Linked DNA regions of Rattus norvegicus. The protein of the gene in region 3 purifies or fractionates together with the protein of the main gene of each other region. This does not show direct contact. Links are inferred from orthologs where the notes say so. Each region holds a gene or a part of one and is shown on either strand. Other genes may lie near its edges.

Evidence for each region.
Region 1: the proteins of Grb2 (region 3) and Lrrk1 purify together in Homo sapiens (affinity purification with mass spectrometry; 4 studies listed by BioGRID and IntAct, with this or other methods). This does not show direct contact. The link is inferred for Rattus norvegicus from reciprocal best matches to the Homo sapiens genes GRB2 and LRRK1.
Region 2: the proteins of Grb2 (region 3) and Snx18 purify together in Homo sapiens (co-immunoprecipitation; 4 studies listed by BioGRID and IntAct, counting the BioPlex papers as one, with this or other methods). This does not show direct contact. The link is inferred for Rattus norvegicus from reciprocal best matches to the Homo sapiens genes GRB2 and SNX18.
Region 4: the proteins of Grb2 (region 3) and Ptpre purify together in Homo sapiens (affinity purification with mass spectrometry; 5 studies listed by BioGRID and IntAct, with this or other methods). This does not show direct contact. The link is inferred for Rattus norvegicus from reciprocal best matches to the Homo sapiens genes GRB2 and PTPRE.
Region 5: the proteins of Grb2 (region 3) and Elmo2 purify together in Homo sapiens (co-immunoprecipitation; 4 studies listed by BioGRID and IntAct, counting the BioPlex papers as one, with this or other methods). This does not show direct contact. The link is inferred for Rattus norvegicus from reciprocal best matches to the Homo sapiens genes GRB2 and ELMO2.
Region 6: the proteins of Grb2 (region 3) and Dock5 purify together in Homo sapiens (co-immunoprecipitation; 4 studies listed by BioGRID and IntAct, counting the BioPlex papers as one, with this or other methods). This does not show direct contact. The link is inferred for Rattus norvegicus from reciprocal best matches to the Homo sapiens genes GRB2 and DOCK5.
Region 7: the proteins of Grb2 (region 3) and Dnm3 purify together in Homo sapiens (affinity purification with mass spectrometry; 5 studies listed by BioGRID and IntAct, counting the BioPlex papers as one, with this or other methods). This does not show direct contact. The link is inferred for Rattus norvegicus from reciprocal best matches to the Homo sapiens genes GRB2 and DNM3.

Annotation. Positions count from the first base shown.
Region 1 is NC_086019.1:129,261,131-129,264,630, reverse strand, and holds part of Lrrk1 (leucine-rich repeat serine/threonine-protein kinase 1), read left to right. Parts: exon of another isoform or gene 1-1,628; coding exon 1,629-1,746; exon of another isoform or gene 1,747-1,771; intron 1,772-2,687; coding exon 2,688-2,804; intron 2,805-3,500.
Region 2 is NC_086020.1:46,988,717-46,992,803, forward strand, and holds the start of Snx18 (sorting nexin-18), read right to left. Parts: upstream 2,801-4,087; 5' UTR 2,635-2,800; coding exon 1,041-2,634; intron 1-1,040.
Region 3 is NC_086028.1:101,445,339-101,449,547, forward strand, and holds the start of Grb2 (growth factor receptor-bound protein 2), read right to left. Parts: upstream 2,801-4,209; 5' UTR 2,740-2,800; intron 1-2,739. UniProt on the Homo sapiens protein: Non-enzymatic adapter protein that plays a pivotal role in precisely regulated signaling cascades from cell surface receptors to cellular responses, including signaling transduction and gene expression.
Region 4 is NC_086019.1:199,917,198-199,919,967, forward strand, and holds part of Ptpre (receptor-type tyrosine-protein phosphatase epsilon precursor), read left to right. Parts: coding exon 1-121; exon of another isoform or gene 122-123; intron 124-1,921; coding exon 1,922-1,996; 3' UTR 1,997-2,770. UniProt on the Homo sapiens protein: Isoform 1 plays a critical role in signaling transduction pathways and phosphoprotein network topology in red blood cells. May play a role in osteoclast formation and function.
Region 5 is NC_086021.1:174,466,960-174,470,459, forward strand, and holds part of Elmo2 (engulfment and cell motility protein 2), read right to left. Parts: intron 3,171-3,500; coding exon 3,098-3,170; intron 2,458-3,097; coding exon 2,407-2,457; intron 1-2,406. UniProt on the Homo sapiens protein: Involved in cytoskeletal rearrangements required for phagocytosis of apoptotic cells and cell motility. Acts in association with DOCK1 and CRK. Was initially proposed to be required in complex with DOCK1 to activate Rac Rho small GTPases.
Region 6 is NC_086033.1:46,222,543-46,226,042, forward strand, and holds part of Dock5 (dedicator of cytokinesis protein 5), read right to left. Parts: intron 2,161-3,500; coding exon 2,036-2,160; intron 851-2,035; coding exon 752-850; intron 1-751. UniProt on the Homo sapiens protein: Guanine nucleotide exchange factor (GEF) for Rho and Rac. GEF proteins activate small GTPases by exchanging bound GDP for free GTP. Along with DOCK1, mediates CRK/CRKL regulation of epithelial and endothelial cell spreading and migration on type IV collagen.
Region 7 is NC_086031.1:77,368,547-77,372,728, forward strand, and holds the start of Dnm3 (dynamin-3), read right to left. Parts: upstream 2,801-4,182; 5' UTR 2,673-2,800; coding exon 2,512-2,672; intron 1-2,511. UniProt on the Homo sapiens protein: Microtubule-associated force-producing protein involved in producing microtubule bundles and able to bind and hydrolyze GTP. Most probably involved in vesicular trafficking processes, in particular endocytosis.

The DNA.
Region 1 (3,500 bases), on a different chromosome or scaffold from region 3:
TTTCCATTGGAGAGGACCAAACAAATGTCACAGGCACTGCAGGGTCTAGATATGGTTTCTAAGTACCAAGAAGCAGGGTTCATCCAATGGCTGGTTCCAGGACTGGGCCTGGACTCCAGAGCCAACCTCTTCCACCCTCCTGAGGATGCTTGCTTTTCCCTTCGTCTCAGACATAGGCACGATGCTGGAGAGAGTTGGACCTGGGGGAAAATGATCTTTCCCAGTAGGAAGAGAGGGTCCGTAAAATCTCCCACCAAAACAGAGGAGGGAGAGTGGGGGCTTCTACCTGGGCACACAGAGCAAGGAACCTGGAGAGAGAAGATCAGATTCCCAGACTGACCCATGGAAGAAGAAAGGAAACGAAGCAGGAAACCAGGGCAACACGACGCCACTGTGGCTAGACTCTGGTCTTTCCGCCATGTTTTTTATTTTTCTTAAGCAACTGTATTTTCAGTATCAAATTTTTTCATTACATGGAAGAAAAGACTAAAACGAGTAGACAGAACTTTGGAGAAAGTTTTGCTTGCAAGTTTTGTATCCATTTTTTTTTCATCTGCAGTTTGCTGTCAGTCAGGGGTGGTGAACACCTTTCAAAATATGACTGCAGAAAAGAGCTTACAGCATGGCTCCTGTCTGAGGCTCCACTTTCTCTCTGACTGGGAGAAAGGGCTGTGTGCTCTCAGGAGTGTGATTAGCCAACTAACCCCTCCCCTACTCTGCTCCGCTCATTGGGGATGTGTGGAGGGGCAGTGGAGCTGGACACATCCAGGCCTGTGAGCCAAGAACCTGCTCTCCTCACTAACTGAGCTGTTCTCAGAGCGACCAGGGTGGAGGCACATCATGAGCTCCACCCAGTCAAGTGTGGACTTCGTACTTCTTATCTTTAGCCTGGGACTGTCTACTCCAATGCAGAGGCTGCCTCTCTTCCTGTGGTGGGCGGGCTCTGGTCAGTGGGAGGGCAGTGAGCAGTCCAATGGAGGTGCTCTAACTCTTCATGGGATGGTTGCCTGAACCCTTGGAGGTCACAAAAGGAAAGGAGGCTGCCTTCCGGTTGGAATGTCCTTTCTCTTCCATGTTCAAGCCTTGCACGGCAGGCAAACCCAGATGTACCCAATGTCATGAATGAAGTCCAGGAGTGCTGCAGGGTAGCAGACCTTTGTATGTGGTTACTTTTGTGTCACTGTCAACAAAATAACTGAGCTGACAGAAACAACTCAATGGTGGATGACTGATCTGGACTCTCTGTGTCCAGACCCTGCCATCTTGGCTCCCCCACACTTGGGAGGAACATCATGGTTCTCCTTTACTTCTGGGAAGACAAGCTGCAGAGAGAGGAAACGAGAAAGACAAACAGAGAAGGTGGGGAGGGAGACTGGGCTCCTGGTATAACCACTGATATAACCACCAGTGTTCCATCTGCTCCAGCTAGCCCCACCCCCCCCCAACGTTCCCAGAGCCTCCCAAAATAGTGCCTACATCTGGGAACCACGTCTTTAAAACATGAACCCGTGACACGAAGGGTCCTTCCTACTTGTATGACTACACCTGTTCCAAGGCCATCCCACTGGCCTGGGGAAGGAGGTGCCCCTGGCTCTCTGCAACTGACCCCATGTTGTTGCCAACCACAGGAATTACACGGTGGTCAACACCGAGAAGGGCCTTCTGGAAGTACAGAGGATGACCTGTCCTGGGATGAAGCTGAGCTGTCAGCTCAAGGTCCAGAGCTCAGTGTGGCTAGCCACCGAGGTAACTGCCAGCCTGCAGGGCCCGTGTCAGGGTGAGCATTAGAGGGGTACAGTTCCCAGGGGTACCAGCTTTGTAAAACTGCAAGATGTCAAGGTCAACTGGACAGAGCTCATCCCTAAAACAATGTCATCGGTCCTGAGAGGTAGGTCACCAGGGGAATTGCTGCTGGCTCCTGCTTGCCACCAGCTGGAAGCTAGGATTCAGGGTAGTTAGAATAGGTAGGGAGTCTCAGCAGGAGAAACTGGGTGAGTTGATGGCATGCCACACCGTGTTTCCTCATGATACTGTGTGGGACACGGAGCATAGCTCATCCCTGAGGATCTTCTGTCTCCATACGCGGAAGTCATTGGAAGACCTAAGTAGCTGTCTTATGAGAAATCCAAATGTTGCCCCAAATCAGATGCTCCAGGGTTATGAGTAGGGAAGGAACATCATAATCCTTCTTCGTGACTGTTTATAAGTATTTGGACCTCCCCAAAACCCATAGATACCCATGGAACTAAAGTGTCAGGAACTGAGTCTGATTTAGGAGAACACACAGACCTCTGAGAATGCCTATCCCAATGTAATTCTTTGTAGCAACAACAAATTGACTAAATATGTTTAAAGATGATGGACAGAAGAGGAGACCCCATATACGTCCTAGAGGGGGTGCAGGGCTCTGCCCGTGGCATGTTCTCACTGTATTGTGGCCCCACTTTGCTAGTGGCTGGTTCGTGCATGGCAAAAGCAAGCTTCTGTCTCCAACTCCTTAGGATCCTCTATGAGTTAACTTTCTTCCAGACTGTATTTTCCAAACAAAAAGCAGAAATGGATTAGCAAGCAAAACCCTGCCTTTTTAAGGTACCAAAGGGGATCCCCAGGCTGAGAGCATCCTAACAGGACACCGTGCCAGTCACTTCCTTATCTGGTTCTCAGAGTGACTTTGTCTGCTCTTGCAGGACCAGAAAATCTATATCTACAGCCTTAAGGGTATGTGCCCATTAAGCATGCCCCAGCAGGCCCTGGACACGCCGGCTGTTGTCACCTGTTTCTTGGCAGTACCTGTTATTAAAAAGGTAAGGTATGGAGAGAGGCATGTTCAGGTCTGTCACCAAGTACGGGAGGGTCTCCTTGCTGGGGACAGTGGATAGAGCTGGGGACTTTCTGGGTCACCTTGCCCAGGTCACAGCCAGCTTTAGAGACAAAGGTGGCCACCATTAACATGGAGTGCCTACCATCCATGAGCACTGGCTTAGAGGAGGCTCATACTGGTGCAGATGATGAAGTAAGCCATTGTAAATGGCACCTTCTCCTGATAAAGGTATCGGGAGCCTCTCCCCTGCCCTGGCCACTGTGTTTTCTGATTAATGGACACAGCTGATTCCCTTTTGTCTGTCTCTGCCTCCTCTCAAAGACTTGCTTCCCAGACCCCAGTCCTTTGCCCAGCTTTGCCCAGCACTGCCCTGCAGACCCACTCCTCACCCCATCCACCCTGTGCTCTCCCCAGCCCCAGCTCCATATCTTAGCACGGAATCTCTTCTCGCTAGGGCTGACAAAGCCATCACTTGACTGGCCCTGGTCCTTCTCCTCCAAACAGTAGACACAGGAGCCTCCCCTTCCCTTCTGGTGAAAGGTCAGGCTGCAGAGCGATGACCTCTCCTCTGAGGGGTTGGCTGGCACTGCTCGCTCTCCTAAGTTCTGCTTCCTTCCCTGGATCTAGTAAGGCCACAGGGGCCTGTGGGTGCAATGGGTGCCTTCCACCCATACACACA
Region 2 (4,087 bases), on a different chromosome or scaffold from region 3:
CTCGGTTGAACACAAGAAAGCAAAAGCCAAAGATCAGGTGGCTCACAAATGCTTTGTCCCACATGGCCAGGAAGAGAGCAGCAGGTCACCCCCTCCCAAGGCCAAATCTGGTTATCCACGCAGCTTTCCACCAGCCCAGGATGCTACAGTAGGTAACTGCCACCTCCCCCACACTGGTCCTCCAGAGGCAAGGTCGTGTTCTTGCAACACCTCCCATCTCTCTCTCAGTCAATGGAGCCATTATATCAGAAAGCCAGCTAGCGAGTAACCTCAGGTCAGTCAGGCATGACTGCTGTAGTTTACCAAAAAAAAAAAAAAAAAATCATTTGCAAAGTCAGGGCTTTAACAAAAGCCAGTAACACACCAAACTAAAAAGCACTCTTAACACTGGGACAGCGAATTCACCGCTCTCAGACACAACATTCCTACTTCGCCCCAACTAGTCTCCCACATCATTTTCCTAAAGAACAGTCCAAATGTCAGCTGGTTAATAAACTCCAAACCCAGCCAAAGGAGGTCGGAGATCCTGAAGGTTGGGCCTTTAGGCCGGTTTGCAAGCTGACACAGGAAGTTCCGGTGCTGCCCCAGCATTGTGAACAGGGCTGGCCCAACTCCCCTGCCACAGCAGGGACTGAGGGAAGGCCTGACTTACCTTTATTCCCAGTCATCCATCCATTCTTCCTATTGTCCCTCCTATCTGCCGGCACTGCAGCGTTCAAAGAGATGCCTAGCCTGGCGTGGGTCCCCTACTAATTCTGCCCCAGTCCACGAGCTTACAGATCAAAGCAGCTGATTTCCCTGCCTATTCAAACTCTGAAATAACAACGCGGTCTGACAAACTAGCACTCTGAAGAGTGTGTCAGCCCCTGACTAGAAGGAAATCCAACAACCCACTGAAAACTCGGTAAGGAAAGTCCCAACAGTCACAACCCTAAGGGTCCCCAGACAGGGAGAACGACCAGGAGCCTGAAACCAGAGAGTGGTACGCCTATTAAAGTCACCACCTTCTGACCCCGTGCCACCTGCCCCACAGGCTTTACCTTTCTGAACATGGATGATGTCTGGGAAGTTGGCCAGGTGCCCCTGATACAGTGCTAACAGGTCCATGACTGGGTCCAGGTCCTGCCTGGGCTGCTCAGCGAAGAGTTCACCGATGGCATCATAGGCGTCTCCGGTGAAGGCAATGGCCTGATTCAGACCCACGGAGAAGGCCTGCTGATCCAGCTCAAAGGCTTGGCTGAGGCCCCGAAAGGACTGGCCCACCTTCTGATACTCCTTCTTGAAGCCAGTCACCTGCTTGCGCGCAAACTCGTTGGCAGTGTGGTTGAGCTGCAACGCGCTGTCATCCATCTTCTTGGTGAAGCATTTGAAGCCATCGATCTTGCTTTCCACCTCCTGCAGGTCCAGGGCGGCCGCAGGTGGTGTGCTCAGAGTGAGGAAGAAGTTGGCGCCCACCATCTCATCCTTCTCAGCCTTCCGCTTACCCTGTTTCCAGGCCTTCTCATCAGTGCTGCTGGGGCAGGTCAGGAAATGCTGGAAGACGTCGCACTGGGCCAGCACTGGGTGACTGGCCATGTGGTTCATCCACCAGATCAGACCCTTCCTGCGCTTGGAGATGAAGTCCTCCTCGAAGCGCCCGGTGGCCTGCTTCTCGGGCAGATGGGGCACCGAGATGACCGGGAATTTCTCCGCCAGGCGCGCATACAGCCAGTCGAAGTGCTTATAGCGCCTGTGCACGGGCACCTGGGTATGCGTGGGCACCAGCTTGTAAGAGATGTAGCTCTTCATACCCTTGAACTTGGTCTGCTTGGTGGGATCGTCGATGGTGCACTGGAAGGGGTAGGGGTTCTCCTGCCACTCGGGGCCGTAGGGACCCAGCACCACGCACAGCTTGTCCCCATCCTTCACGAAGCCTGACGCCTCTCCCAGCACGAACGCCTCCCCGCCCGACTTGACGAAGGTGGAGAACCGATTGAGGTTGCGGCTCACCGTGGCGGAGCTCTTGGCTCCAGACGCTTGATGCGGCGGGGGCGCTGAGACGCCACGGGAGCCCAGCGACAGGTCCGAGCGTGTGGACAAGCGGTAGCGGCCGGCCGCGCCGCCGCCCGCTGAGGACGAACCGTCGAGGTCCGGGTACGCACCGCTGCCCAACGCGCCTGGCTCGTCTGCCACTGTGGAGCTGTCGTCCCACTCGTCGTCCCAGTCATCGTCGCTGCCTAGGCTGGCCTGGTAAGCACCGTAGAGCTGCTGGGGCGACGGCTGCGGGGCGCCCCCGCCGTAGGTAAAGCCGGCGCCCGGCGACTGGAAGGAACCGGGCGACGCCTGCGGCTGCAGCAGCGGCTGGAAGGCAGCGGGCGGCGCGGCTGGCAGAGGCTCGAAGCCGCCGGGCGGCACGTTGGCGTAGCGGGCCGGAGCTCCTGGGCCGCCGTCGGCCGGAGGGCCAGGCTCCGGCGCACGGATAACCTGCACGTACGAAGCCGGGAAGAGGCCGCGGTCGCCGCGGCTGTTGATCCCTTCAAGCCAGCCCTCGATGTCCTGCTCGCTGCACAAGCTCAACACCTCGTGCTCCCGCAGGGAGATCTCACCGGGGTTCTCGGACCTAAAGTCGTAGAGCGCCCGGGCGCGTAGCGCCATGGTCTCGAGCCTGGCGCCCCGAGCCCGGGCCGGTCCGAGGGCCCCGCGGTCAGTACCCGCGCCCCTGAGCGCCGAAGGGAGCGAGCCTTGAGGGCAACGCACGGTCTGCTCCCCGTTCCGCTCGTAGCCTCCGTGCAGATCCGCTCTGCTCACCGCAGCGACTGCAGCTTGGGGCCACCGCCGGCCGGGGGCGGGGCCCGGGCCTCCCACGTCCCCAGAGGAGCTAATCCATTGCCGAGATCCGCGTGCCAGACAAGAGCAAGGGATGGCCGAGCAGCCGTGTGTGCGCCGACTGTGCGGCCGCAACTGCCCCCTTGTGGCGGCTATGGAAAAGGAGCGAACTTGAGTGACCACGTGGTGGGTGGGAGGATTTCCAGAAGTAAATTATCTGAAATTGTTTAGATCTTTACGTCATAAAATGGGGGGTGGGGGTTTTTGTTTGTTTGTTTTTTGTGTTTTACGAAAGTGTATTTGTATCTACAATAGCCCGCTGTTCCTTCTCTGACTGCTCAGAGTAAATGCTCCTAAAATGACCTTAACCCCTACGTGTAATAAAGGCTTTCACAAAGAAGATTAGCTGTTGCACTGATAAGTACGCCTTTGCTAGGGTTAATATGTAGTAACTCACAAGATACCCATCTTGTCACTGAAGGTACGGCTCCTTTCCTTCCTGTACTCTCTGATCTTGTTGACAAGGAGTGGAGACTGACCGGAACAAAGTTAGAGTTCGGGAAGAACCTTGTTTGACCAGAGGCAAGGGTGGTGCGGGGAGAAAGGAGCTGAGGAGTTACAAATGAGAGCTCCAGTTTCAGGGAGCCAGGCTGTGTTCTGGCACTGATAGGCTGTATGTCCTTGAGCGAGTCATTTGCACTGTCCTTCCATCCCAAAGTTTGTGGATTCTGTGATAATGTCATTCTTATCTTACAGGCGAAGGAAGTAAAACGCTACTGTACTGAGTAAGCACCGTTCAGTTGTTTGCCATTGCTGTTACTTGGGGAGACACAATCTCTGGCCTCTCTCCTAAAGAGAAACAAGGGTCCTTAGAACTGCAGTTATAGGTGTGGTACACCACAGGGACAGCCCCCATGCTCACAACTTTACACTTCTCCTCGGTCATTGAGGAGGCCTCACTATTTCAATAAATTTGTGTTAAGTAGATCAAAACTGAGAGTTTAACCAACACCAGCATCCTGGGCTTGCCTTGTTTCCGTATATTTTCCTTCAATATGTAATTTGCCCAATGCTTGTTTTCCCGTGCTCTCCTTACTGAGTCTAGCCTAATCCTTTGAAGATACCTCTAACTGCAGTTCTATGGTCACGTGTCATCAATTTCATCCTGCTCTCTGACCCCTTCTATGACAATCTGGCAATCAGACCAGAAGAATATTTCATTGCACTATCCTAAGCACTGTGGTTATCAAAGCATCCTGTTCAAAGCCACTAACCAAGGTAC
Region 3 (4,209 bases):
GTCTCAAAAAAATTTTTTTGGATAAAAAAATTTTAATTGGCAGGTTTCTTTTTTAAGATTTATTTATTTATTTATTATATATGAGTACACTGTAGCTGTCCTCAGACACATCAGAGGAGGACATTAGATCCCATTACAGATGGTCATGAGCCACCATGTGGTTACTGGGAATTGAACTCAGGACCTCTGTAAGAGCAGTCGGTGCTCTTAACCACTGAGCCATCTCTCCAGCCCTTCCTTAATTGGCAGGTTATGTCTATACATACAAATTTTAAGAATCAAGGCTAAAATGAGGAAGCACTAAGCAAATTTTAAAATTTGCATTTCAGTGCACTACGTCTGAACAAAATGAAAATGATGTATGTTAGACTTGGCACAACTCGGGAAAATCAACTCTGACAAACACAGAAGAATAAATCTCAATAACCGTGGCCAAAGGTGTAGGCCTCTGAGGTCAGCAGGTAACGACACCAAATGCCTGTCCGGGAGTGGCAGCTCTGTCTTGCTGTCTCCTAATTCATAATTCTCCATAAGGGCTGCTGTATACATGCGACATAACAGAAATCATGGAAAAAACCCTCAGTACCAGTGAGTAGTGCTTAAAACTATTGGACTAGAGAGAATAGCAACTCAGGCTGTTAAAGAACACCGACTCCTCTTCCAGAGGACCTGGGTTCAATTCCTAACACACATATATATATGGCTGCTCACAACCCTCTGTAACTCCTGTTCAAGGTATTTGTCCTCCTTTAGCCTCTGACAGCACCAGGCATGCACACGGTTTCCATACATACATGCAGGCAAAACTCACTCAAGCACATACAAAATTAAAAATCATTTTAAAAAGCCTGGTTAGGACTATATCATTAGTCAGGAGAGGAAGGTGGACTTAATTCACAAATATCCAAAGTTCTCTTCTATTTCAAGCTATCTTACTTCACAAACTCCACGGATGATTTCTCATTTAACAATAGTTGACCTCGGGGTTGGGGATTTAGCTCAGTGGTAGAGCGCTTGCCTAGCAAGCACAAGGCCCTGGGTTCGGTCCCCAGCTCCGAAAAAAAAAAAAGGGAGGGGGGGAGTCTTTCAGCTTCCAAACTGGCTCAAAATCTTCCTTACTAACAGAGAAGAGAAACAGGAGAGAGAAAGAAGGAAAATAGTAGGCACAAAAGGATACCTTGTGAAGAAAACACCAAAATACAAATAGCACAAGCGAACAGGCAAATCCACTTGTGATCTGATGGCACTATCGATTACTTAGCAATGAATTCAGTCCTTTGGGTTTTCTAGTTCCCAGGGGGAGAACTTAAACCCCCTCAAGCACCCCGATGGCTCCTTAGTAGCCCTTCTGGCTGGCTGAAGAATACAGAGGACAGTCTAAAAGAAATGCAAACGGGGCTGGGGATTTAGCTCAGTGGTAGAGCCCTTACCTAGGAAGCGCAAGGCCCTGGGTTCGGTCCCCAGCTCCGAAAAAAAGAACCAAAAAAAAAAAAAAAAAAAAAAAAGAAATGCAAACAAGGGAAGGTATCTACCCCCCCCAAAAAGGGGATCTTAGAACGACTGAGAAAATTAACAGTGCTCAAACCGGCAGAAACTTCGAAAATTATAGCGGAGGAAGAACAAGAAGGGGAAGTAGATTATTTTCTAAAGGGGGTGGAGGCGCCAATGACTGGCGTTACAAATGTACTTCGTGGGGCTGGAAAGATGCCTCAGCGGTTAAGAGCACTGACTGCTCTTCCAGAAGTCCTGAGTTCAAATCCCGACAACCACATGATGGCTCACAACCATCTGTAATGGGATCTGGTGTGTCTGAAGAAAACTACAGTATACTCATATACATAGAATAAATAAATTTTTTAAAAAAATGTACTTCGTGTCCCTAGTGGAGTGGAATAGAGACTGAAAGGACAAAAACTGCAGGGCAAAGTGAAAGAGAGGCGAAGAAGTCAAAAGAAAGCCAATTTCTCTAGCCTCTTTTTGAATGTCAACACCATCAAAAGACGGACGTTGAACGCGCCTCGGCTTCCCGGCAAACTGCACTGCTATATAGCTTTTGAAGACACCCTAAAAATCACTTTCTTACAAACCCACACAACCTAGAGCGTTGCAAACGGACATGAACCAGCGGGGCTCTCTCCGCGAAAATCCTTCCTGCCAGCATTCCCATCAGCTGCTGCTGTTTTTCCCCCCACAACAAGTATTTTTTTTTCTCAAGTACTTCTACAAAAGAAGCTCCCAACTCTCGCAAAGACCAGTCGGTGGGTCCGGGTAACAATCATTCTAAGTCATGGTGGATTCCCGCACACAATTCGACCGCAAGATGCCAAGAGACGGTGACGTGGTTGCCTTGCAGGTCAAAGGAGCATCAATCACCACGTTAGCAGCCGGCACCGAATCCCCCGCCTCCCGGGCTCAGTCAGCCTGACTCAGAGCAGCACCCTGTGCCTCTCGGCTGCTCCGGGCTCCTCTGCGCCCAGCCGGACGGCCGCCACACCGGACCTCAATCGTCGGCTCGCCCGGTCTCTGCCCCGAGCGGGAGGAAGACCGACACCAGGAAGGAAGCGCCCCAAAAGGGGAAACGAGGAGACGGCTGCGCAGCCGCTGCGCTCCGGTCCGAGCCTTCCCCGACCCGCGAGCGGCCCGCCCCGGCAGCCCGGAGCAGACCGGGCCCGAGCTGCCCGGCGCGGCGCGGGGACGACGGAGCCCCCGCTCACTTCCCGCCCGCTCTCCTGCACTCACCGCGACGTGCCGTCCGCTCCCTCACCCGGCCTGGCCCGCCTTGTGCTGCCGCCCGCGGCCGCCAACCTCACTGCTGCTCCCTGACTGCGGCGCCCGCTGCCCAGACCGCCGTCCCCCGCCGCAGCTTGGCTCGCCCCGCCGCCGCCCGATCGCAGAAGCAGCAGAGCAGCCTAGCTTCCGCTCCTCGCCAGGGTCCCGCGAGAACTTCCCCACGCGGCCCCGCCCCGCCGCGCCCCGCCCCCGCGAGACTTTCCCCGGCGGAAAAGGCCCAGAGCGCAAGCGCTCCTCCTCCGCTCCGCCCGGCAGGTAGCCTAAGGGGGACTTCGCGCATGCGTCAGCTCGCCCCGCAGCAGGTGGCAGGGACTCGGCTCCGCCCCTGGGCCGTTGTAACCCTCTGCGTGCCGGAGCAAGTGAATTACAGCTCTGCTCTAGCGGAATAGCGCTTTCCACACTCGAATAGCGTTCTTTCTATCGAAGCAAAGCAAAGAGGCCTCGAGGAGGGGTCGAGGGGCGGCAGATCTCAGGATGGTTCGACCCAAATAGAGGACCAGATCTAGAAATGTTTGGGAATCTGGTTCGTACAACCTGCAGTGTTTGATGAACTGTTTGATTAGTCCGTTCACCGAGTGAACTACATACCTACTGTAGGTAAACACTGTGCTGGGTAAAGAAGATGAAACGACGAGCAGAGATCCTGGCCCTTAAGCGATTCAATCAATCGAGAGAAGCACCAGAAGAGTAAACAAGTAATGTCTTGGGCTGGAGAGACCTCTCAGAGGTCAAAAACAAAACAAAAAACAAAAAAACAAAACAAAAACGCTTGCTGCTCTTCCAGAGGACCTGATTTCAGTTCCCAGCACCCACATCCCATGGTTCACAACTGTCTGTAACCCCAGCTCCAGGAGATTTAGTGCCTCTGGCCTCTGATGGCACCGGCATTCACCTGCACACACCCTCGTGCAGACACACACACACACACACACACACACACACACAAACTATAACACTTACACATAGTACTTTGGGGGAATGCTGAGGAAGCCAAAAAGATGGAGAAAGGCTGGCTCTGTTCCTCTGCCCACTGCATAAAAGACTTAACAAAGAAGGTGATGTGCCGCCGAGTGCTGAGGGTGAGTAGGAGTTGCACAGCACAGGAGCCAGGGTAAGCCCATAGCCGGCAAACGGAATAGCACAGAAGAACAGAGGGATGGATGGAGGCGTGAGAAAGTCGTGTTCTGTGCCATGCAAAGTACATAGATTCCTATGTGGGGCTGCCGGCTATGGGGGAGCGGTAGAGGAAAGCTTGGAGAAGTACCTCTCAGTTCCAAAAGCTCTTTCCAATTACAGGAGAGCACGAACACATCCTATGCTAGTGCGTTCTCTAGAAGCCAACGAATTTCAGTTGAGAATACCCACCTCTGCTACAATAGAGGAGATGGGTCCCCTAGAATAAGGAAAGTGAACCGTTCT
Region 4 (2,770 bases), on a different chromosome or scaffold from region 3:
GACAGGTACATTCATAGCACTCAGTAACATTTTGGAACGAGTGAAAGCCGAGGGACTCCTAGATGTGTTTCAAGCTGTGAAGAGCTTAAGACTTCAGAGACCACACATGGTGCAAACCCTGGTAAGAATCTGATCAGTCTGATGTTCCAGAAGAGTCGAGAATTGTTTCATGTGTTTGATGTTAGTTTCATTAAAAGGAGCGGCAGTGTAAAGGAGGGCTTGGGGGGGTGTCTTGTCCCAGAGTGCCTGACCCAGCTGCAGTCTTTCACAGTAAAGCCCTCCCAGGTCTTAAGGGGAGTCTTCCCAGCAGACTTGAGAGGAGGAGCTCATGCACAAATTGTATTTCCATTTAAAAACACAGTTACAGAGTTCAAAAGCAGCCCTGAAGTTCAAAGCCTGGGTGCTTGTTACTTTCCATGTTTTACTGTAGCCTTTGGTCTGTTTGCCTCTAGAAGGTCTCCTTCAACCTCAGGCCCCTCCAAGGGTCTTGTCTGGGGGTGGGGGGGTCTCTTAACATCCAATTGCTCTACATTTTCTCTTTCATTAGCCAGTGCACACTTCTGGTTAGAGGGAGTCTGCACTGAATTCCAAAACGTTTCATGTAGAAGGGGCAAGTGCAGTCTTACAGGCTGAATCCATCATTTCCCAGAGCCTCCTAATGAGGACCTCTCTCCCTCCTGCTCGTTCTCTACAGGCTCTTGACAGGCGGCTTGACCCATGTGCAAAGACGGGGGTGGGGTGGGGAGCTGTGGCGGTGACAATGGAAAGGCTCCACATGAACCTAAGACATTTAGTCTTGCAAATCCTAATGGCATCTATATTAATATAAAAGCATGTGATTTTCACTGCTTAACAGATATAAATTAGGCAGTGTGAGCTTTATGACTTCTTCGGTGGTAGAACTATGGGAGTTTCTTTTCTCCACTTCAGAAATAGTTTTCATTCAGGTGTGGCAGCACATGCCTATAATCTCAACAGTTGGGAGGTAGAGGCAGGAAGATCAAGAGTTTGAGGTCATCCTAGGCTGTAGTAGGAATTCAGGCTAGGATGAGCAACATGAAACTCTCCTAAAACAACAAACATTTCTCTCACACACATTTCCTGGCCTTAGGAGATAGCTCTATTGATAAAATACTTGCTTTGCAAGCATAAAGACGTGAGTTTCATTCCCACAGACCCACCCCTCCACATGCACACACAGTAACCACCCCTCCTCATGCACACACAGTAACCACCCCTCCTCATGCACACACAGTCACCACCCCTCCACATGCACACACAGTAACCACCCCTCCACATGTACACACAGTAAACACACACAGTAACCACCCCTCAACACGCACACACAGTAATCACCCCTCTACATAACATACACGATAATGGACCCGATAGCTTGAACTTGTGTTCCCATACCTGGGAGGTAGAGACAGGCTTCCTGGGGTTCACGGGCAGCCAACCTAACCTACTTGGCAGTTTCTGAGCCAATTTCTGAGTTTCTGAGAAATGCTGTCTCAGAAAACCAGGCCGATGGTGCCTGAGGAAGAACACCTGAGGTTAACCTTATTAGCCACGTGTAAGCTAACACATTTGTACCAGCACACATGCCAACACACATACACACAAAAGACTTTCCAATGTCAATATGAAAAGCAGAGTTGTTTTCCTAAGGCCATCCGGAAAATACACTAGGGTGAACCTGAAGATTAACGTGTTCCGCATGGAAAGCTCGGTTTAGAGCATGACTCATGCCTAAAAGGCACATGTAAGAGAAACTGATGTGTGTGCGGGAGCCCCAGACTTTGATGCATCAACAGACTGACTGGCAACTGGCCTTCTACTGCATCTTCTGATTATACACATCAAGTATGTGTGAAGCCGCTTCATTTCAATATACTATTAATACTCTCTGTTCTCTTTTCAGGAGCAATATGAATTCTGCTACAAAGTGGTACAAGATTTTATCGATATATTTTCTGATTATGCTAATTTCAAATGAAGATCCCTGCCTTAAAATATTTTTTAATTTAATGGTCAGTATATTTTGTAAAAAAAAATCATGTTAATTTATTTCCTAGTGGATATTAATATCCGTCCTGATTCCTTTGTATATATTTTGTTATGTTCTAAAGGCTACCTGCTGTAAGATTATTAAATCATAAATGTCCTTTTTAAAAATTGGAATAACATGTTAAGGTCAAATGCTATCTGGGAAGACATATATTTCTCCTAATACCAGTCAGTATCTTAGTTCTATTAGATTCATGTCATGTGTCATGTGGTGTCACACATCATGTATCATGTATCCACATGCCATGTGGTGTCACATGTCATGCATCTGTAAATGTAGTTCTTAACATGTCAAATGTGTTTGTGGAAAGACACTAAACCTGAAACCCCTTGTGGAGAAAACGGTTGAAGACTCAGAGTCTGATCACATTTATTCTCCCCATGCAGGGCATCAGGGTGTGGCAGACAGTGGACATGGGGGCTTTGGTAAAGTCCTAGGTCTCAGCCATGTGGTCCACCCTTACATATGAAAGATCAGAGCAGGAACCAAGCACTGCAACGCATAGCTGAAGTACTTGAAGGGGCTGAGGCAGAAGGATTGTGTTCAGGCCAGGCCAGCCCAGGCTACAGTGAGACTCTATCAGAAACAAAAACAAAAACAGAAACATAACAAACAAAAAACCAGAAGATTTTGTAACCCAAATCCAGGTCTCAGATGTATAAGGGTAGATGGTGACTTCCCCGTGAGTTTTAAAAGGCATTT
Region 5 (3,500 bases), on a different chromosome or scaffold from region 3:
TTATTTTATTTTAAGAATTATATTTATTTTGTGTGTGTGCATACATGTGCATGCTATACCCTAAGTGTGATGATCAGAGCATTAATTAATCTGATAGAGTCAGGTCTCTCCTTTCCCCATGTAGGTCCAGGGGATAAAGTTCAGGTTATCAGGCTTGGGGACAAGTGTCTTACCTCCCCCACCCCAAGCTATCTTGTTCTACGGATTTTTCTTTTTAATTCCTACCAAGAAAATAAAGAAAGGGTATCTCCTAACTGCAAGTCCTCAGAAGCAGATCTGTCAGACGCCGAGGGTCCTGCCCTAGAATTTAATCTGATGACCCTGAAGGACCCTTTTAGTTCTAAAGTGTGATAACCCTGACAAACCTTTCAATGTTCTACATCACCCTTCCCCAAAAGAATCGTGCTGGGCAATCATGAAGGACAAAGGAGCTGGAGGCCGTGATTATGAATAGCTTCCTGGACACGATGGCTGCTGAGGACAGATGCCTCCCTGCACGGGCCTTCCCCAGCAGGGCACCTGACTCCTGCAGCCTAGCAAAGCCTGCAGCAGTGTCCACTGTCACTCCCGTGCTGAGCTTACTACCACACAGTCAGACTCCAGTTCACTGTTTCATCATGCCCTGCTCTGAATGGAATGTTCTCTCAGGAAAGAAGCAGGAGAAGCAGAGTGCCCCAGGCCTGCCTGTCTGCCTACTGTCAGGAAGTGACTGGAGGGCAGGGAGTGGGGTTGGCCTCTCTATTACAAAGAGGGGCCCATAACTGCATGGTCCTCTGGCAACACACAGGTCGCCCTAATCCCACAGTGGAGGAAGGGTGTGCCTAAGGAAAGGTCACCCATGAGACAATCTGTGAGCACTGGTCTGTATGGAGCTTAGAAACTTGCAGCCCAAATGTAAATCTCCCTCCAGAGCGGCCTTTCCAGTGGCTGTGCATGGCTATACTCAACCTTAGTCCTCAGTCTCCTTGTCTCCCTCTCGCTTGAACTGATGCAGTCAGGAAGAGTTAGCAAAACTCGAGGTAAGTGCTGGCTGGCACTCCTCTACACATCTCCTCTCCAGACAAGTGGGTCCTTCCCTCAACAAGAAAACATGGCCTTAATCTCCTACAACTGTGACAGAGACTGAGCCCTTTGTCGGCCTTGGGCCTGCCTCCCTGCCCTGATGCACTGAACCCTTACCCCTTTCCTGCACCTTCACCCTCTCTCCCATCTGAGCTCATCCATGCGACACATGAAAAACTGCAGGAGAAAGAAAGGGCCTCAGGCTGGAGAGTAGGACATAAGGACTCCAGGACCGTCCACTTCCTGCCCAATTTCACAAGTTTTGAAACTCATTAACATGCTTCGCCTGTTTTTCAAACATCTTTTGGATCCCACATCTCCCATGTTCCTGTCCTCTTCTTGCTACCTGAAACAGTAGCAGACGTAAGCTTCTCCACTGTGCCCTTAACTTTCACTCAAGACTGCTGGCTCTCACTTGCTGTGGGAAGCCGGGCTGTGGCACCGCAGTGGCCTGTACTCCTGCTCTCACTCCACCCTCTGCACTCACTGCACTGCGGGCCTCTCCTTCCTCTACCCTGCTCTGCCTGAGTGGCTTAGCACCTTTCCTCACCACTATCCCCACTCCACCCAACCCCTGTTGTCTTTAGATGTGGTCTCTTGAGCTTACATTAGCTTTGACCAGTCTCCAGCTGAGGACTTTAATTCATGATCCTCCTGCCTCTGCCTCCCAAATGCTGGGATCTCAGGCCTGCTCTACTGCCCAGCCTCCTGCTTCTCACTCCCTTTCAGGCTGCGGCTGCTTCCTTTGCTTACCTTTGAGGGGATTCCCAACTTTCCCTCTGCCCCCACCCCCAGCACTGACACATTCACCAAGTCTTTCTGGTGTCTGTCAACCCTGCCATCCCACTGCCTTTGCTGGACGTCACCCATACCAATCTGAGAGATCACTCTCCCACCAGTCTCTCTTACCTGCCTCTGAATGTGGCCTTGCTAACACTCCACAGGATGCACAGGGAATGTTCCTCAGGGATTCCCTTTTTTTTTCTTGTAAAGTCTGAGCCCATAGGCAGCCATGCCAGTGCCTTCAGAACTGGTTTCCCCTGCCACACCTCTCAGCTCTGGTTTCTACACTAGGAAACACATTTCTTCTTCTCTCAGTTATTCCCAGCCTCTAAGATCAGGGTGCCTATCTCTGGGAGAGCTTTCTGGAAACTGCTCTGCTGGAGGAGGTGGCCCCTCTCAGACTTCCTACACACCAGGAGGCTGTCTGCTGCCCTTGCTCATGAGCCGCCAGCCAGGCTGTGAGGAAGAGGGGTTTCTTCACAATCTCTAGTCTCAAACCCGTAGAGCAGAGTCCTTCCCACCATAAGAACTCGTGTGTGTCAGGAAGACTGGAATACCTACCGGGGAGATGGCCAGTTGTAAGATTGTCCCATTTTTAATGTCGCTTCGGGTCTGGATGGCAAAGAATAAAACAGAACAAGACAAAAAGACAATATTAAAATAGTACATGGAGGTGATTCAGTAAGGACTGGTGGCCATTTTCACAGCATAATTGACTCTCCTCATCTGCAGGTGATCAGCTAGCAATGAACCCATCGGCAGGCTTTGCAGGGTTTGCTTTGAACGTTACGGGCTGTTGTTCTTGTCTGGCCCCCTAAGCAGTGCTGGACAGCAGGTACAGACATGGCCCACCCACTGCATGAGGCACATTCTGCATCTAGAGGGGAATTTAATGTGCAGGGGATGTGCCTAGGTGACAGGCAGCTACTGTGCCATGTGTACCTCCTGAGACTTTGGTATCTGGGGACCACTCTCCATGGATACCGAGGGACACTGAGGTTCTTCTGCAGCTAGGCCTCCTCCTACTTGCTTTCTACAAAGAGATTCTAAGATTTTCCTCAAGAGCTCTGGGTCTTGAAGCAAAAGCCACCTCAGCCACCATGGAGCCAGCTGGTGCTCCACGCTGCCTAAAGGGCAGCTCTTTAAACAGGGAGTTGGAGCCACCCGCACAGTAAGAAGCTAGGCTGTGCCACCTCCTTGGCAGGTCACTTGCAAGCAAAGCGTGGCCTGCCCTTGGCCACCCTGTACTCGCCTGCTCGGTGACATAGAGCTGGGGCCCATCTGCATAGCGGAGCGTGTAGTACTCCGGGTTTGGCAGTGACCACCTGTGGGAAAGAAAACAGAACACCCCGCTAGCTTCTCCTCTGGGTTCGTCCGGAGCAGCAGTGAAACGCTGCAGTGACTACCCAGGGACCTGCCAGCCTGTTCCGAGTGCAGTGGAATCCAACCAAAGCTTTTGGCTGAGTCCCTGAGAGGGTCAGCAATAAAGGAAGTGCGGGCAGAGGGGCATGGGCCTCACATCCTACCCAGGCCTCCTGAGACAGACATGGTCACCAGGGCTCATGGTCACTCTGAGGCCCAGGAGCACATGAGGATCTCGGAAGCCACAGGGACCTTATCAGCTGTCCTTCCTTGGTAAGATAGTGACGCAGCCC
Region 6 (3,500 bases), on a different chromosome or scaffold from region 3:
CACAGACTACAGAGGGATGTGAAAAATAACCGCTACCTAACAGATATTTGGACAATGTTCAGTTTCTGGAATTTTCTGCTTACAACTCATAGGACCCTGCCAATGCTGACAGTAGGCGCTACAGCAGCCCAGACTTCAGATGTGACCTGTTTTAGGTTGACCCCAAGGTGCTCCAAGATTTGAGGTGTCACTTCTCTTCCTAGGGTCTGCTGCCTCTTCAAAAAGAGGTCAGAGTAATACCCGACTGTCCAGTTTCAAGGCCACTGTGAGCCCACAGGGGATTCAGGATCTGAAAGCATTCTGCAATTCATGAAACCCTTCCTTACAGCGAAGAGGCCCAGAACACTTGGACAGGGGCCAACAAGAACAACATGTTGGGAAGCCGATGATGGAGTGCGCACATCTTAGCTTGTCTGCAGCATCTTGGCAGCCCCTGCCTTATTATAGCCACAAGTTTTTCTTGTCCAGTCGCTATACGTTTGTGAATAAGAATACTCTGTCAGAATCTTGGGCTTCATAAAATGGATGCTCTAACGACCTCCTAACTGCTGATTCAGCTTTTGAAAAAAATTAGTTCTTTGAGAATCTCACACGATGCATTTTGATTATATTCCCCATTCCAGTCCATCCCCGGTTTATTTCTTTCTGCAGACAATCTGAAACTTTCAGATATCTGAAGACTGACTTGGGGTTTAAAAAGCGGACAGGAATCTAAACAAGGGTCAATAGCTGAAGGAGTTAGAATTCTCACCTTGACTGTCTCGTACCAACAAGGTTGCTTGACTTGATAATACACCACGGACTTGTACTCTGAGACGCCTTCGTACCCAGCTCCAGGATGAATGGCTTTCTTTGATTGGAAAGACACAATTAGGAGATGATACTAGGTCATCTAGTATATGAAAAACATGGCAACAGAACAAGGTCTCTGAATGTATATCATCCAAAAATTAACCCAAAGTCAGGGGCTTTGATGATGATGAGTTTGAGAAGTCTACCAGCAGCCATCCACACTATACTGCGAGATGACACTGTGGCAGCAGGTGTATGCTGTTCCTAGCCAGCAGTCATGCCACTTAATGTTAACAAATGCCACATGGGTCCCTTCAGCCCCAAGTCCTGCATACCATGAATTTCAGGGTTTTTACTGAATGTGTACAGTTTTCTGCTTTTAAAGAAACATAATGGTTGAATTATGGACAACAAGGACCGAACATTTGGAGAGCATTACTTCAGGACATCTAGAGAGCTTCAGGAGCCAAGACTTTCACTTGTACATCTAGAGCAATTAGATGGAGGTGACAGAGGCTTCTGGTGGCCACCCGGTGCCTCCCAACTCTCTCAAGTCAAAACCAAGATGTCCAGAAAGCTGCCAGAGGCAGAGAAACTCTTCGACTCTGTCTCTGACATCTGCAATTCCAGAGGAAAGAACTCTACTCTGGGTACAAGTTCCCAATGACTAACACTGGAAATCAGCATTGCCATCCTACACCAAGGGTGCCTTTAGTGTCACAGTATTCCTTCAGATAAGTCGGTGTCCATGGGCTCCACTGGCCCAGGTGATGGCAGTGTGCCTGTCAAGGCCTTTGGGACACCTCTGCATGGTGCTCAAGCTGAGATTAGCCATACCACTTGAAAATGTCAAAGGTCCTAAAGTTTAAGTGGCCCATGATATCTCTCTGCACAGAGAAAAATATCAAAATATATCTAAGTAGCTCCCGGAGTAAAAATAGCCACTGAGAATCACGGGTTTATTAGTTTTTATATATTTTTTCCTTAAGAGAAAGTATTGAACATGTTGGTACACGCCTGTCATCCCAACACCCGGAGGCAGAGGGATCACAGGTTTGAGGCAGCCTCAGCTACCTAATGACACCCTTTCTTACAAAACAGAAACTAATAAAAGTAAGAACAAAAACCCAGATAAAGAAGGACCCTCCCCATATGGGGAGAATTGACAATAAGTTGGACCAGCGTTTGGCTGCTACCACAGAGCAGGTGCGACGCGATGAGATTTGTGGGGAGTGCTACATACCTCTAAAAGGTTGCCTTCCTCATCAAACACAGACATGGTCACCTCCACATTCTTGGGTGTCTTCTTCTTCCCCTTATCAAACTCCCCATGGATCAGGGTGACATAAATATCATTTCGAACATCCCCTAAAACACGACAAGCCTACTGTGAGTGCTGCTGAGAGAAACTCACTTCAAAGTTAAAGTTCCATGATTTAACACACAAGGACTAATGTAAATATACAACGGTCTGCTGGTAATGGCCTGCTGATTCCACGTAAGTCTTGACTGCTCTCTCAGTCCACCTCTCACTACACATCAAGGTGTCTCTGATGTGCATGCTTTTGTAAAAAATACCTTTTTTTATAAGTGTGCACACACATACATGTATATGCCACAGCATGAGTTTGTGGGCCAGAGGATAATTTCTCTGGAGTCAGTCTTCCCCTTCCACCTATTATTGAGGCAGTGTCTCCCTTGCTATTTCTACTGCTGTCCGGCATTCACAGGCTTTGAAGAGATTCTCCTGTTTCTGCCTCTGCCTCTCATCTTGCTGTAGGACTGCTGGGATTGCAGCTATGAGCCACCACACCTGGCTTTTTTTTTTAATGTGGGTTCTACAGATCATTCAGGTTGTATGGTAAGAGTTTTTAACCTACTTAGCCACCTCAGAGATCCAATTCTTTGTCCCATTTAGGATACATGTCTAATAATAAGCATACATTAGATATTGCTAGGATATCCAGCAGGTTTTTAATAGTGTCTTTCAGGTTTCTTGTTCATGCAGCTAGCTGGATATGGGCACGGTTCCTGAGGAGACACAACCCAGGAATGCCAGCAGTGTATTCATAGGCAGTTGAACACCGAGAAAGAGATAATTGGTTAAAAGGAAAGAAGAGGGTGATCTATTGGGGGTGTAAGAGAAGGCAGGAGTCTTGATGGATGAAGTGGATGTCTAGATGGCTTAAAGTCTATAGGAGTCTTGTGCTACAGATGGGGACCAAAGATAATTTCCCCCAAAATTTGGTGTGTCTGAAGTTAGTGAAAAGAGCTTTGTGATGGATGAACCTGCTCTTCTGAGAAGACACAGCAGCCCCCCTTTACAGCAACGTTTATTCATCCATTCTGAGTATTCATTAAAACACCCTCATTCTCAGGTAATGGGCGTGTGGAAAACTACTACTGCCCCTTGACTTCCTGAAGGAAAGAAAAGATCCCATTGACTCTCAGAAAAATCTGTTCTAATGTGCTACATGGCAAATTGGTTTTCCAGAGCTTTCCAAATGTGATGTGGTACCAGCTGTCCACAAGTCTCTTTGTCATGGATTAGTTCCTATGAACTGGGCCACCGGGTTGTTCCCCGAGAAGGAAGTCAAGTTGGGGAAAACATCTGCAGAGCAGGATGGGAAAGGGTGAGCTGAGAATGCTGAGGTGCTGAGTGGCGTTTTTTGGGTCCTGCATCCTGAACAGTCCTTGATGGTGCTGTG
Region 7 (4,182 bases), on a different chromosome or scaffold from region 3:
AACAAACTTGTCACCCGAAAACTGGTTTTACAGTTAGTTAAATAAACACGTTCTCATCCAGATACATCCAATGGTATTTAAAGAAGAAACCATATAGGCAAACTACTTTTGATGGAAAGATGTGGTCAGCTACTAAAGGTGGAGTGTTAAGTGGTAAATAAATCAGTAAGTGAACACAACAGTTTACACAAGTGAAGATCCCAGTGCTCGACTGTACCTGGTCACTATGCCATTGGTCAAGCTTTAACATGAGAGCGGCTATGAGCAGAGGCGAAAGACTGCATTTTAAAGAACTTTATATTGTATAAAGTTCCTGCTCAATAAAAGTTAAAAGATTCCACTGAAACACGAAAAACCTTTTCTTTTTCAACCTAGACTGATTCACTTCTGAAAATGAAGGATTTTTTTCCCTTCCCCAAAGGTTGAGTTATAATTAGAAATTAGATTCCTCAATCATTCAATGACCGAAATCTTTATTGAAGTCAAATGACCTTCTTCTAATTAAGTTTCCTCCGTACTATTTAAGTTGTGCTAGACAGGGCTACTCTGCAGCTAGTAAAGGTTTTATGTGCTTACTAAATGGGTATATTCTTCTTCTATGTCCATTATTTTCTTATCATCCTTACTGGTAAAACTTTATAAAGTAGGAGAAATTGCTAACACATTCTGATTAAGTGCTCCGATTTTTATAGTCCCTATTTTTTCATTATGGAAGAATGCTCAGAATTAAATCCTGTGCCTCTATTTTATTCTCATTACAGAAAAATATACCTAATGAGAGGAAGTGTACACACTTTCACTATACCATTAAGAAGATTGTTCCGATTTGCAAACCTGGAGGCCAGAGCTGCGATTCGTGCATACACTTTACATTGGATTCAAAGGCTCTGAACAAAGTGTGCTCAAATCTGTGCTCATCCAAGTAAATTGTAAGGAAGATGCTTAAAAACATGGCTGTTGCGTTTGAAATATAATTCTAATCCTTAAGAATGAGTAGCATTAAATAACTTCTTGCCTGAGACCAGAGCTCTGAGATGACGTATGCAAAATATTTTGCTATTTCCTTTCCTACCGAGCCAAAATTAATTGTAAAACCAAGGAGACATGATCAAGGGAACTAACTACGCAAGGGTGGCTGCCAATGGCCAGCAATTACACGGTTTTATCTTTCTAGTTCACACCGATGCGAGGAAAATGAAGAGTATCTCCTGAGAGATGGAGCATCCTCTGAGAAAGAGGAAAAACGCACTTTACAATGCTCACACCCAAAATTGTGGGGATGAGCCGATCGGCGGTACAGTTTACACTCTGCCAAGCAATAACAAAAAGAGAGGAGGGGGTGGAGAACCGCAGCGAGAACCCGCCGCATCACAAGCTGCTCACCAACCAAATAAAGAATGAAGTGCTATCTCGGATTGCCCCCTCCAGCCCACCGTTTCCATTGCTGCACCTTCCACCTGGTTTACTACTGGGAAACAGATTCCAGCTTTCATGATGCACTCCTCACTCAAGGCCATTAAGGTAACTTAATCCTTCCTGGATTGCTCACTGAAAAGAAAAACGTTGATTCCAGACTTAAAACAATAACAATTCTTTGTTTTTTTTTTTTTTTCCTTTAAGTGGGAGACATGAAGCTATAACTACAATTTGGATTCTGGATGTTAGCTTGAAGACCTGCTGGATAAATAAGAGCTTAAGGAACGCAAGGGGATGCTGGGGGGAGGGGGCGTAGAGAGAGTGCGAGAAAGATGCTGGTCAGTTCTGAGATGGTGCAGGAATGATGGTGCAGGCACCCGAACATCGCAAGTCCATGGGTCACCCCTGGAGGTCTCAGGTTTCCGGTCATGCCTGAGCAGTAAATGGGTGCACACTCAAACACACCACCGTTTATTCTTCGGCTCCCAGGGCAAATGGTAGGCGAGCTTCCCAGGATAAGCCTTCACCACAGGGATTTCTGGGTTCACACACCCCGCCTCCCCTGCTCAGGGCAGGCGATGACTGTCTCAAACAGTAGACAGCTGAGAAGATCTGAGAGCCAGGGCCAGGGGATGGGGAGGTAGGAGGGACCAAGGAGGAGGGGTACATCCCCACAGCCGAACTGAGAGCCTCCGGGAGAGTGACAGGGAAAGGAAAGGGATGTTGAGCCAGAGAAAGAGAGCTGGGGACTGGAAAGCACCGAGCTGCGCTTCCAGGCTGCCAGGGGCTGGCGCGCACCAAGCCAGCGAGGGAAGTGGATCCCAGGGCGTACCCCGACTCCCCCACCGAGGGTGGGGAGGAAATGGCTTTGTATGGCAGGATGAAAGGCAGACAGGGGGTCACCACCGGGTAGAGAATGCAGGGACGAAGGATGTCCAGAGCAAGAAGGACCCCGCCCGCTCCAGGGACACTTCTGCTCTGCCCCCAATCCGCTGCAGCCTCTAGTCCACCCTCCGGCTGCCCACACCGTTCCAACGGCCTGAAGCACGGGGCTCCCCCACGGACGCGCCCCCACCGCGCTCCTGGTGTGCTCACCTGCCCACGAAGTTCTCGAGCACTGAGCTCTTGCCGGCGCTCTGGCCGCCCACCACGGCGATCTGTGGCAGCTCCAGCAGACAGCTCTGTCCCAGAGCCGAGAAAGCGTCCTGCAGACGGTTCACCAGAGGGATCAGTTCTTCCATCTCCCGGTTCCCCATCTTGCCTGTGCGGCCAACTGCCCCACAGGTCCCTGCGCGACTCAGCGACCTGGCAGGCAGCCCGGGCCTCGCAGCACTTGTCCGGTTTGTTGATGCGCGGGGCTCACACCGCTGAGTCCCGGCACCGTCGTCCGATCCCTGCCACCCGCTGCTAGGCTCCTGACAGCTCACAGCCCACAGCGCGCTTGCGCAGCCGAGAAAGGCGAAGGAGGCGTGGCCTGGGCCTGAGACGGTCACGCCCACACCACGCCCCTCGCCTGCTCCTCCCTAGAGTTTCCAAGCCTACTGGCTTAGGGGGGCGCATATGCACTGCCTCCCAGCTTGGCCAGATGCCACCGCCCAGGCTAAAGGGCAGAGTACTGCACTTGGTCAAGGAATAGCCAAAATCACACCCAACAGGGACTCTGTCCCTTTTGAAGGAGCTACACCACACAGACGAAGCCCAGCGGAAAGCACTACCGTCTACCATCAGTTAACAGCACGTTGACATCAGCTTCACCATGCACCACTGCCATCGTTGTACGCACCAGAATACATTTCCCAAAAGGAAATTTCGCCTTTCACCCTGACTCCAAAACCTCCATTGGAGAACTGGGTTATCTGACCTTTACTAAAATACTCCCATTACTAGCCGGTCCCACTCCTCCTTCTGTAAGCTAAAGTGTAGTTCCTTGAACTTCCTGTAGTCTGCCATACTTATTCTGGCTTTTGGGATTCCTTGCCTGAGCTAGCTGTCCTTTTAGCTCCTGGACAGGACAAAGAGATTGGCAATAACATGCAGTCTGCACTCGATCCGTTAAACTTAGCACAGAGAAGATTCTGCGTTCGGTGATGGAGACACAGAGATAAATGGCCATGCTTCTTCACCTCCTTCCCTCTTTCCTGTGCATTTTGAATACTGACACCTCTCGGGATTTAGTGTACAGTACTTACTGGTCTCGAACATCCTCCATCTGATGATTGTCCAATGGCTCTAAGTAACATAAAGGCTAGAGCCTGCATAGGAAAATAGGTTACATCTCCAGCATCCTGGGGTCTTTCCTGTAACTTAGGCATCACCTTCACACTATTGCCCCTCTAGGACAATAGTGAAGGGACACCCTGCCTCACATTCCCTACATGCATCCCTACATGATGTGGTACATGACCTCATGACTAAGTCAATCTTGCAATTTTCATGCCTGCAAAACCAGTACCACATGAGGTATAGTGCCATGTTTTGCTGCCAGTTTGGAATGGAAACTTTGGACCACTGCTGCAGCAAACCCTCTGTGCACTGACTCTGAGGAAATATTTCTCTAGGCAACTATTTTCCAGGAGCTGGTGGCAAGAAAGTCTATGGCAGAAGTGGGTGGAGGCTGTCCATATTGCATCTGTAGTCAGAAGGCAGAGAGAAACAAATGCTGGTCATCGGCTGCCTTTGTCCTTCCTATGCAGTCAGAAATCCCAACATGTGGAATAGTGGCACCTTAACTAACCTAATCTAAATAATCTCTTAAAGACACACCCA